Caenorhabditis elegans: one gene and its partner. The protein of the gene in region 2 interacts with the protein of the main gene of each other region in a pairwise test. Each region holds a gene or a part of one and is shown on either strand. Other genes may lie near its edges.

The links.
Region 1: the proteins of cyb-1 (region 2) and puf-3 interact in a two-hybrid assay, tested with the Caenorhabditis elegans proteins (3 studies listed by BioGRID).

The regions. Positions count from the first base shown.
Region 1 is NC_003282.8:13,509,807-13,513,967, forward strand, and holds puf-3 (PUM-HD domain-containing protein), read right to left. Parts: upstream 2,357-4,161; 5' UTR 2,340-2,356; coding exon 2,011-2,339; intron 1,939-2,010; coding exon 1,129-1,938; intron 1,082-1,128; coding exon 712-1,081; 3' UTR 501-711; downstream 1-500. Other genes in the region: afmd-2 (Alpha/beta hydrolase fold-3 domain-containing protein), read left to right, coding at 196-336, 389-467, 2,735-2,994, 3,491-3,589; m7GpppN-mRNA hydrolase dcap-2, read right to left, coding at 3,813-3,908.
Region 2 is NC_003282.8:10,733,548-10,737,966, reverse strand, and holds cyb-1 (G2/mitotic-specific cyclin-B1), read right to left. Parts: upstream 2,526-4,419; 5' UTR 2,512-2,525; coding exon 2,452-2,511; intron 2,410-2,451; coding exon 1,991-2,409; intron 1,912-1,990; coding exon 1,525-1,911; intron 1,479-1,524; coding exon 1,376-1,478; intron 1,332-1,375; coding exon 1,215-1,331; 3' UTR 794-1,214; downstream 1-793. Other genes in the region: grl-21 (Ground-like domain-containing protein), read right to left, coding at 1-95, 139-474; orc-5 (Origin recognition complex subunit 5 C-terminal domain-containing protein), read left to right, coding at 3,389-3,532, 3,610-3,749, 3,792-4,128, 4,174-4,346, 4,413-4,419. UniProt on the Caenorhabditis elegans protein: Essential for the control of the cell cycle at the G2/M (mitosis) transition.

The DNA of each region.
Region 1 (4,161 bases), 2.8 Mb from region 2:
AAAAAATGGAGAAAATAAATTCATTTAGAAAATCGAGCCCGTAAATCGACACAACCTCTACAGTAGCCATGTAAAGAATTACTGTAGTTTTCGATACGAGATATTTTGCGCGTCAAATATGTTACATAATACGCATTCTCCGAATTTTGTGTTCTCGTAACATGTGGAGAGCACACAAAAACAGAAAATCTCCAGATTGGAAACCGAAAGAAATGTTTGGCTGTCGTCCACGTGGCACAAAAGCTTGGCTACACTGTAGTCAGCGTGGGATACGACTATGCCAACAAGGATCATGTATTGAGCAAGACGATCGTTGAAGCTTTGGAAGGAGTTCAGGTTGGCGGGAAATTTAAATATTTCAGAAAATGTTCTAAAATATAAATTCCAGTTTGCTCTGAAAAAGTTCAAGAATGCGAAGAAAATTGTGATTGGAGGACACTCAGTCGGAGCACACCTCGCATTTCAAGGTAATAATTAAACAAAATATTGCAATTAAATCTGGAAGTTTGTAAATTCTTTATTCACAGAATTTATATCAATTATTGTGCAAAACGGGGGCCGGGGTCTTCATATAATATAGAAGAGGTTGCAATACTCTTTCTACAATTTTCTAGCAATATAATAATAAAAATAATAATAGTATACACGTGAGTTGGGTGATGGTGGGGGTTAGGATTCAAATGGAAATGAATAAAAATTGCCTATGTGTATCTAGTACAAGGACATTGATTGGAGCGCTTCGATAATCTTCTTGCCCGACGAAAATCTTTCGAGGCGGTGGGCGTTTCGCATCACTCGTCCGTGAATCTTCTCGAGCCACATGCCGTACATCTCCGATTGCTTTTGATCTCGAGCATTCTGACCGAGAACACAAGTCTGGATCATCTGCTGAACAACGTAGTTTCCATATTGATGGAAGAGCAGAATGTCGAGAGCATCACGATTTGTATCCGGATGTGGAATATATCCTTCGAAGATCTCGTTCATCATCTCGGCAACGAGGCGATATGGAGCACATTCAAACGCCACTTCGACCACGTGGCTAGCGTACTTCTCCTGTGACATTGAGAGCAAATTTTGCCTGGAAATGGAAAAATACATTTGAAAATTTGACTATATAAAACATACAGAAGGCACTGCTCAATGATGATATCTCTGTAGACAGCCAACGCATCTCCACACTTGATAACGTGTTGTACCACGTAGTTCGCAAACTCGTTGGAAGCCAGCTGGGTGCAGTTACGAGTGACTCCAGCCATCAAACTGCGAAGAAGAATGACACGATGCTGGTAGCACTGAGCATATTGATCAGTCGACAAAGTTTCGACGGTCGATTGAATGACACGGCACCCATATTTGTCCTGGCAAACGTGGATGAGATTGTCGTCGTCGGCGAAGAAATCCACGAGGAAAGTCCACGAAGAGACTGGAAGCGTCTTGACAATCTTCTGAATCACGTGGTTTCCGTTTTGATCGATGCTGAGACGGACGAGGTGCGTGTCACGGAGCTCCAACGACAAACGAGTCGCAAGATGAACATCAAGCTTCTGAATAGCCAGTTGAATGACGCGGCACGCACTCTTGTCAAGGCAGAGATTGTACAAATCAGTAGCCAAGTGCTCCGTAAGAATCTCCTGCTCCTCAGTGTTCGAGCACTCCAAGACACGTTGCACAAAGAAGTTGCCAAACATGTTAGAGCAGAGCGACAAGAAGATGGCACGATCCTCGACCAGTTTACGGAAGAGTTTTTGGTGGACGTCGTTGTCGTTCTCCGTTGGATAATGCTCCTGAAGGAATCGGCATCCATTCTTATCGGTGGCAAATTCCACGAGAGCATCGTTGGCGAGCACATCCTGAAGAGTGACCGAGTCCGAGACATTTCCCTCGCCGTCGCCAGCCCAGATTGGAAGTGTGCATTTGTGGCTGCGGGTGGTCGAGCTGAAAATTTGATTATTTTTTTGAAAGTTTTAAAAATTGAGGCTCCAAGTCACTGGAAAACTCTAAACTCACTTCAAAGACTTCGAGAACGAGGCGTTGTTCTCCAAATCGATAAGTCTAACGGCCTGTTGAGGATAACGAGCCGGAGTCGTCATCGGTGTAGAAGTGCGCCATTTGGAGAATTGTCCTCCAAATCCTTGACGATTCGGAGCCCAAGCGCTCTGTGGTGTCGGTGAGGAGCTCCGAAATCCCATCGAAGAGTCCACTTTCCGATTCGGCGTCCAAATGTTGGTGGAGCTGTTGGCGTTGAAGCAACCACCGAATGTGCCACGAGCCTCCGTCGCCGTTGGCGGGCTCTCGTAGTAGCGACCGAGGTTAGAGGAACCGGTGTTTTGACTCATATTGGTACGGAGACTACCTGAAAATTTATTTTTTTGGAAGACATCGACGTTTGAATGGACGGAATAAGTGGAAAATACGATAGAATTAATGAAAATAAGAGAGCAAAATTTTGGGACGCGTCCTCGAAGACAAAAAATGAACAAAAATGAAGAAATCAGGAACCAAAATGCAAAAAATCCCGCGTTAAAATAAAAAATCCAAAATTTCCCGCGCAAAAACGAAATAAAGTACTGTAGAATTTAAAGGCGCATGTCGACGCTGCGCCGATGGGTCTCGCCACGATTGATAAATTTTGCATACCAGGAATAAAATTTATGAAAAGTTCTTGTATTCTCACTCTGTGCAAAAAAATAGCGCTTTTTTTTTGTTAAATCAAAGAAAAAAATATTTCCAGCTGTAACACGGATCCATGACCCCCGAATCAGTGGTGCCTACCTCAGCGCGGGCATCTACAAAATTCAAGAACTGACTTCCACGACTTATGGTCACGATCTTGGGTTGACTTCAGAAGAAGCAGAAACTTGTAGTTGTGATTATGAGCTTATGAAGCATGTCCGGTTCCCGGTGTTAATCGCATGTTGCAGACGGGAATCCCCAAAGTTGTACCAACAAAATCAGGATTTTTCTAGTCAAGTTGCAAATGCTCAGTACAAGGTTTGAGCTATTTTGGACCGAAAAAAAAACCCCGTTTTAGGGTCTTGGCACGATTTTTAAAATATTTTTTTAACGAGTTTCACGCCAAAACCACGTTACCTGGTCTCGACACGATAGATTTTTGCTAAATGAGAACAGATATATGCGCCTTTAAAGATTACTGTAGATTTAAAAATATATTTATTTTATTTGGAAAACTCATATATTACGATAAAAACACATTCTTAAGAAAATAGATTATTTAAAATTCCGCAAAAACCAAATTTCAAAAGTACAGTACTCTTTAAAGGCGCACACCTTTTCATATTCGTCGTGTCGAGACCATGTATGGTATTTTTGACGCAAACCCCATAAAATCTCACGTCTGGATGATAAAACACGAGGAAACAACAAAAATCTATGAAATTTCGAGAAAATTACAGTAGTCTTTTTTTAAAGGCGCACGTATTTTCGCAATCAGCAAAAATTTGTCGCGTCGAGACCATTTTTGTTTCAGGAATACGAAAATGAAGATCATTTCACAATCCTGACAGAGCTCACAAAAGAGGAGAGCATCGTGTACGCCGACTTCTTCAACTTTCTTTATTCAATTTAATTGTACATTTTTTTTTCCAAAAAATAAAAATCAGATTTCTTGTTGGGTGTGGGAAACCTACAAATCTACATGAAAACCTTAAAATATAGCAAATTGTTTAACAAGGTTTCATGACTAAAATGAAGTAAATAGATAGGAAACATGTGGGTTTAGGAGCAAAAAAAAAAAGATACAGACAAGAGTGAATATATATTGAAATTACAAGTATTTTATTATATTTTATTTATGGTAATTGTGGTCCAGTGCCAGAAACGGGAGATTTTGTAGAGAATTGTTGCATCCAAAATGACAATGGTCCAACCACATAATCAATGTCAAGCTGGAATTTTTTTAGTTGTAAAATCTATAATATTTTTGTAAAAAAAAGTACTGTCTAATTTAAAAAAAAAACGAGCGTCGTTTTGCAAACCCGCGGCGCGCTTTTTCAAATAATTTTACAATTTTTTGGCGAAATTCTTGATTTTTGATTATTTTTCGAATTTTTTTTTGTGATTAGCATTTGAAATCGTCAATATAAACCTATTTTAAAAATAATTTTTTTTTATTTGTGGCTCATTTATTTTCCCTACATT
Region 2 (4,419 bases):
TGCTTTGTGCAGATCACAACATATTCACGGTTCATTTCAGTTTTCAGGAGAGCAGTGATTGTTTCACGTGACTCCTTCTCACCTGATGTCATTCCCTGAAAATGTTCAATATAGACTAGTTACTTTCAAATGCAATACCTTCTTGATAATATCTCTAACTTCAACACTATTACAGAACAAATCTCCACTTGAAGCTTTCATGTCAACTGATCTCTTTGACTTGGCTCTGTATGGTCCTGGTCCGTAGGATCCAGCATAAGATGGTCCAGCGTATGATGGTCCACCCGCATATGATGGTGGTGGTGGTGGAGGTGGAGCTTCATATCCGCCTCCGCATGGTGGAGGTGGTGGAGGTGGTGGACAGCAGCATTGTTGAGGTCTTTGTGGACCTAATCCTAAACCGAGTCCTTCTAGAAGGAATGCAGATGAAGAAGCAGTCAGTGAAAGAACAATTAGAACTGATGAATGAACCATTTCGAGTGGAATGTATGAAATTCTCGTTTTCGATGGTCACTTTTGTAGTCATTACAGCAGAGCGTTAGAGATTGATACGCAGAGAAATTGCAGCTTCATTATTACACATTTTGAGAAAATTCGGCGAGAAGTGACCGCCAGTGCTGTAACAAACCGATGAGTAATTGGCCGAAAAGCCACTTGACCCCGGGTTCGGCACACAGAATTCAAGGTTAAAGTGGGTGGAGCCTACTTGTTTTTATGCTTGTTGACTGGTTTAAGTTCGTCGCGTCATTGCGCAGGAGACCCCCTAGAACCTTCAGACTACTCCATCACTTATTTAGTACATGATTTATAGTAATTCCATTTAACAAAATTTAATAGCACATAGGTTTCATCAGAAAGTTTTTGGTCCTTCTAGTTACAACAACAGAGATGAGGACGGTGAGTCTTACAGCAGTGTGGTTTCAATAATTAAATACGAGATCGATACAAAAGAGGGCGCGAAAAGTTGTGATAAAAATTTTTAGTGAAATTTTAAATTTCAAAATGGACAAATTGAATAATATGGGAGGTGGTGTATGGTCGCTCAACGAATGTTCACCAATTTACAATCAATGTACGGGTGTGACCAGATTGACGTGGAAACGACTGGAGGAGTTAAAAAATGGAAAGGAGCCGAAAAGAAAAGCAATGAAGGAAGAAACATAAGAATCAAGAAAGACTGAATGGTACAAAATGTTTATTTCGGATCGAAGTGCTCATTCCATTTCTGATGCGTCCACTTTTGCATTCTGGCCCATCCGATTGATTTTCTCGAGTACGTCGTCGGTCATCAAGTTGGAAACTTGTGCAAGCTTGCTTGATTGATACTTATTCTGCAAATAATTATGTTTATTGGAATACTTCGATGATTCAATACCTTAATAGCGACAAGCTTCCCCTGTTTGAAGTTCTTATACGAGACTTCGGCGAGCAAAGCGACAGCATCCTCAATGACTTTCTTAGAGGCTCCGAGCTGTTTGCTAAAAATGTTGATATTAAAATAAAAATATAAGCTTTAAAATGTACCAAATGACCGATACAGCATTCTCCGCCTCGATTCCGTCAACAGGATGAACTTCAAGAGCGATGATCATCGAAGCAGAAGCAATGTGGGACCTTGGGGTCGAGGCCATAACCGAATCGAGCAGTGCGAGCTCTCCGAGACACTTGGAGATATTGTAAGTATAACAGAAAGCTTGATTATCGATTGGGCTGGCATCGTTTTCGGAGAGAATTCTTGAGAGACAGCGGAGGAAGACAAGCGAAGATGGGCAGGACAAGTCAAAGTTCAACGAGTTAAGGATTGTTTGCTCCATTGCCAAGATCTGCTTCTTGCTGTATGTGTTCTCAGTGATGAACTCGTAGTCGTGGATGTCTGGGAGGTAAACCTCTTCGAACTTGGAGGCAACGAACCTGAAACAAAACATTTTTAAAGGATACACAATTAGTAATCCCTATATGTTACGTTTTAAAATTGAATAAAAACTCTCACATAGCTGAAATTCCAAGAAGCTGAAGATCCGCCTTGGAGGTGACCTTCTTCTGAAGCATGCGATCCAGAATGAAGACAGTCAAGTGAAGTGTCTCAGGTGTGAGATGGAATCGAACATGAACTTGGACAAGCCAATCGACGAGAATGCGACGCATCTTGGGAGTGGGCTCTCCTCCCTCCATGAAGCACTCCTCAAGAAGATACTTTTTCTCGTGATGAACGAGATACTTGTATATGTCGTCGGCCATAGCAAGACATTTAGTCTCAGCATCCTGGAGGTTGATTCTCTGTGACTTTTGCGCAGTTTCGACTGGAGCTGGATTGGATGGCTTGAGTGCAAGAATCTCTCGAGCTTCTCTTTTCGTCTGAAGACCTTGCGCATTGACGGGCTTCAATGGTCCGTTTCCGTGCTTAGCCATCTGAATGATAATTATAGTTTTTAGTTTGTAAACACCTTGTACCTGGAGGCTATCCTTTTCCACATTATTCGATGTTCGTCTGTTGTTGGTGGCTCTTAGCATATTGAGGCCTTTCGCTGCAATAAACGATTGTTTGCAAGTTCCAAGAGATAATAAAATAAAAAGTGAGAAAGAACCTTTGATTGCTAGTAGAAAATTGGTAAGTTGAGAAATACTGGACGTTTTACAAAATCTGACAGAAAGGTTATGATTTTATCTAAATAGAACACAACGTGTAAATAGTTTCTACACGGCGAACATGTTAAGGTCACGTGAGGAGCCTATTAAGAATTGTTTGCACTAAATACAAGAATATCGACAAATGGGATTCGAATGTTCCGCGTGCAGCGATTGTCCAACGGAGCGCAACTCCCCCACACCAAGATGGTGCTTGGTGGTAGGAGGGGGGAATCGCGAAGGGTAATATCGATTAAATATGTCACCTAGGATGAATGAAGAACAGACGTTAAAAGATGAATTACAAATGAACCTAGAATATTAATAAAGCTCCAAAGTTAGGTATTTGATAACGATAAGCCAAAGAAAAAAAGATTGTTTTTGTTCAAGAATCGAATAATGAATAAAATGAACCGGTCTATGTGGCAAAGATTCAAATAGGGAAACCTGCGTTGGAAAATAATCGTTCCATTGAAGGTTTTTGCAAAAAATAAATTCTTGGCGCCGAAAAATTGAGGGAGATCCGATCAAAACTTTAATAATCGCAAAGTTTCAAGAGCAAATGATTTTATTTTCAAGGTTCGCGCTGCAATACGACACTCCGTTATTTCGCATCGCGCTTAGTTTAGCCAAGTAAACCTGCTCCATTGAATACCCGCCAACTTGAAAACAGTTTTTACTGGAAGAAAGTTTTTTTTGTTTTTATTTCAAGGCTGAAAAATCAGTCATTTTATCCATATCATAGTTTTTTATTTTTAGCAAAATGGAAAATTGTGAGATAAGACGTCTAAAAATGCTCTTATTTAACAACTCGCGAATTATTTCTCATGTCCACATTTTCGGAGAAGATGGAAGCGGAAGAAGTGAAATTGTTCGTCAACTTCTGAGAAAACCTGAAAACGATTGGGTTCGTGTTTTACAACTTCAATTTCAAAACAATTAAAAATTTCAAACAATTTCAAAATTCACAATCTATTTTTATAGGTTTGTGTGCTTGGAGACTTCCTCTATGCGGATGGATCGCTGAAATTGTTATTCGATTCACTGGCATCGAGTTTAGGTTTCAAGACTAGAGGTGACAGAGCTGAGAATTTTTGCGATAACCTGTATAAATATGTCCAATGGTAAGTGTATTTTCTTGTTAATTAAATTTTAAATATTTTCAGGCCAGACGAAACTAATAGAAAAATTGTCATTTTTCTTGATAATGCACAAGCGATAACAGACTATCCTCCTGTTCCATTACAATGCTTATTCGATTCTTACAAAGCTATACAAGAAATAACGATTCGATTTGTGACGAGTGCACCATCCTGCTTGAACCAATATCACATTAATCTGAGCCATCTTCCAGTTGTAGAGTTTCACATACCTGCACCATCAGTAGAAACTACCAAAGTTCTTATTTCTCGTGCAAATCCAAAAATCAACGCGCAATTTCTTCACGTTGCTTGCCAGTCACTGTTCATGGCCTGCAAGTCACCGAATATTCTTCTATCAATTGTAAGTTTTTTAAAAACAATGTTAAATCCATCACTACAATTCCAGATATCTGATGCGTGGCTAATGTATGATGAGCGGAGAACCGGCGATAAATTCGACTCTACACTGGCAAAAGAATGCCTCAATAGATCATCTGGAGAAAAGCTCGGGAATGTTGTCGGAGAGAATCTGGCCAAGGAGAACGAGAACAGTTTTGATGCCATGCCGCTCGCCATGAGGTATCTAAAAATACTCAACAGAAAATATGTAGTTCTTCCAGAAATTCCAGTAAATTTTTATTTCAGATATCTT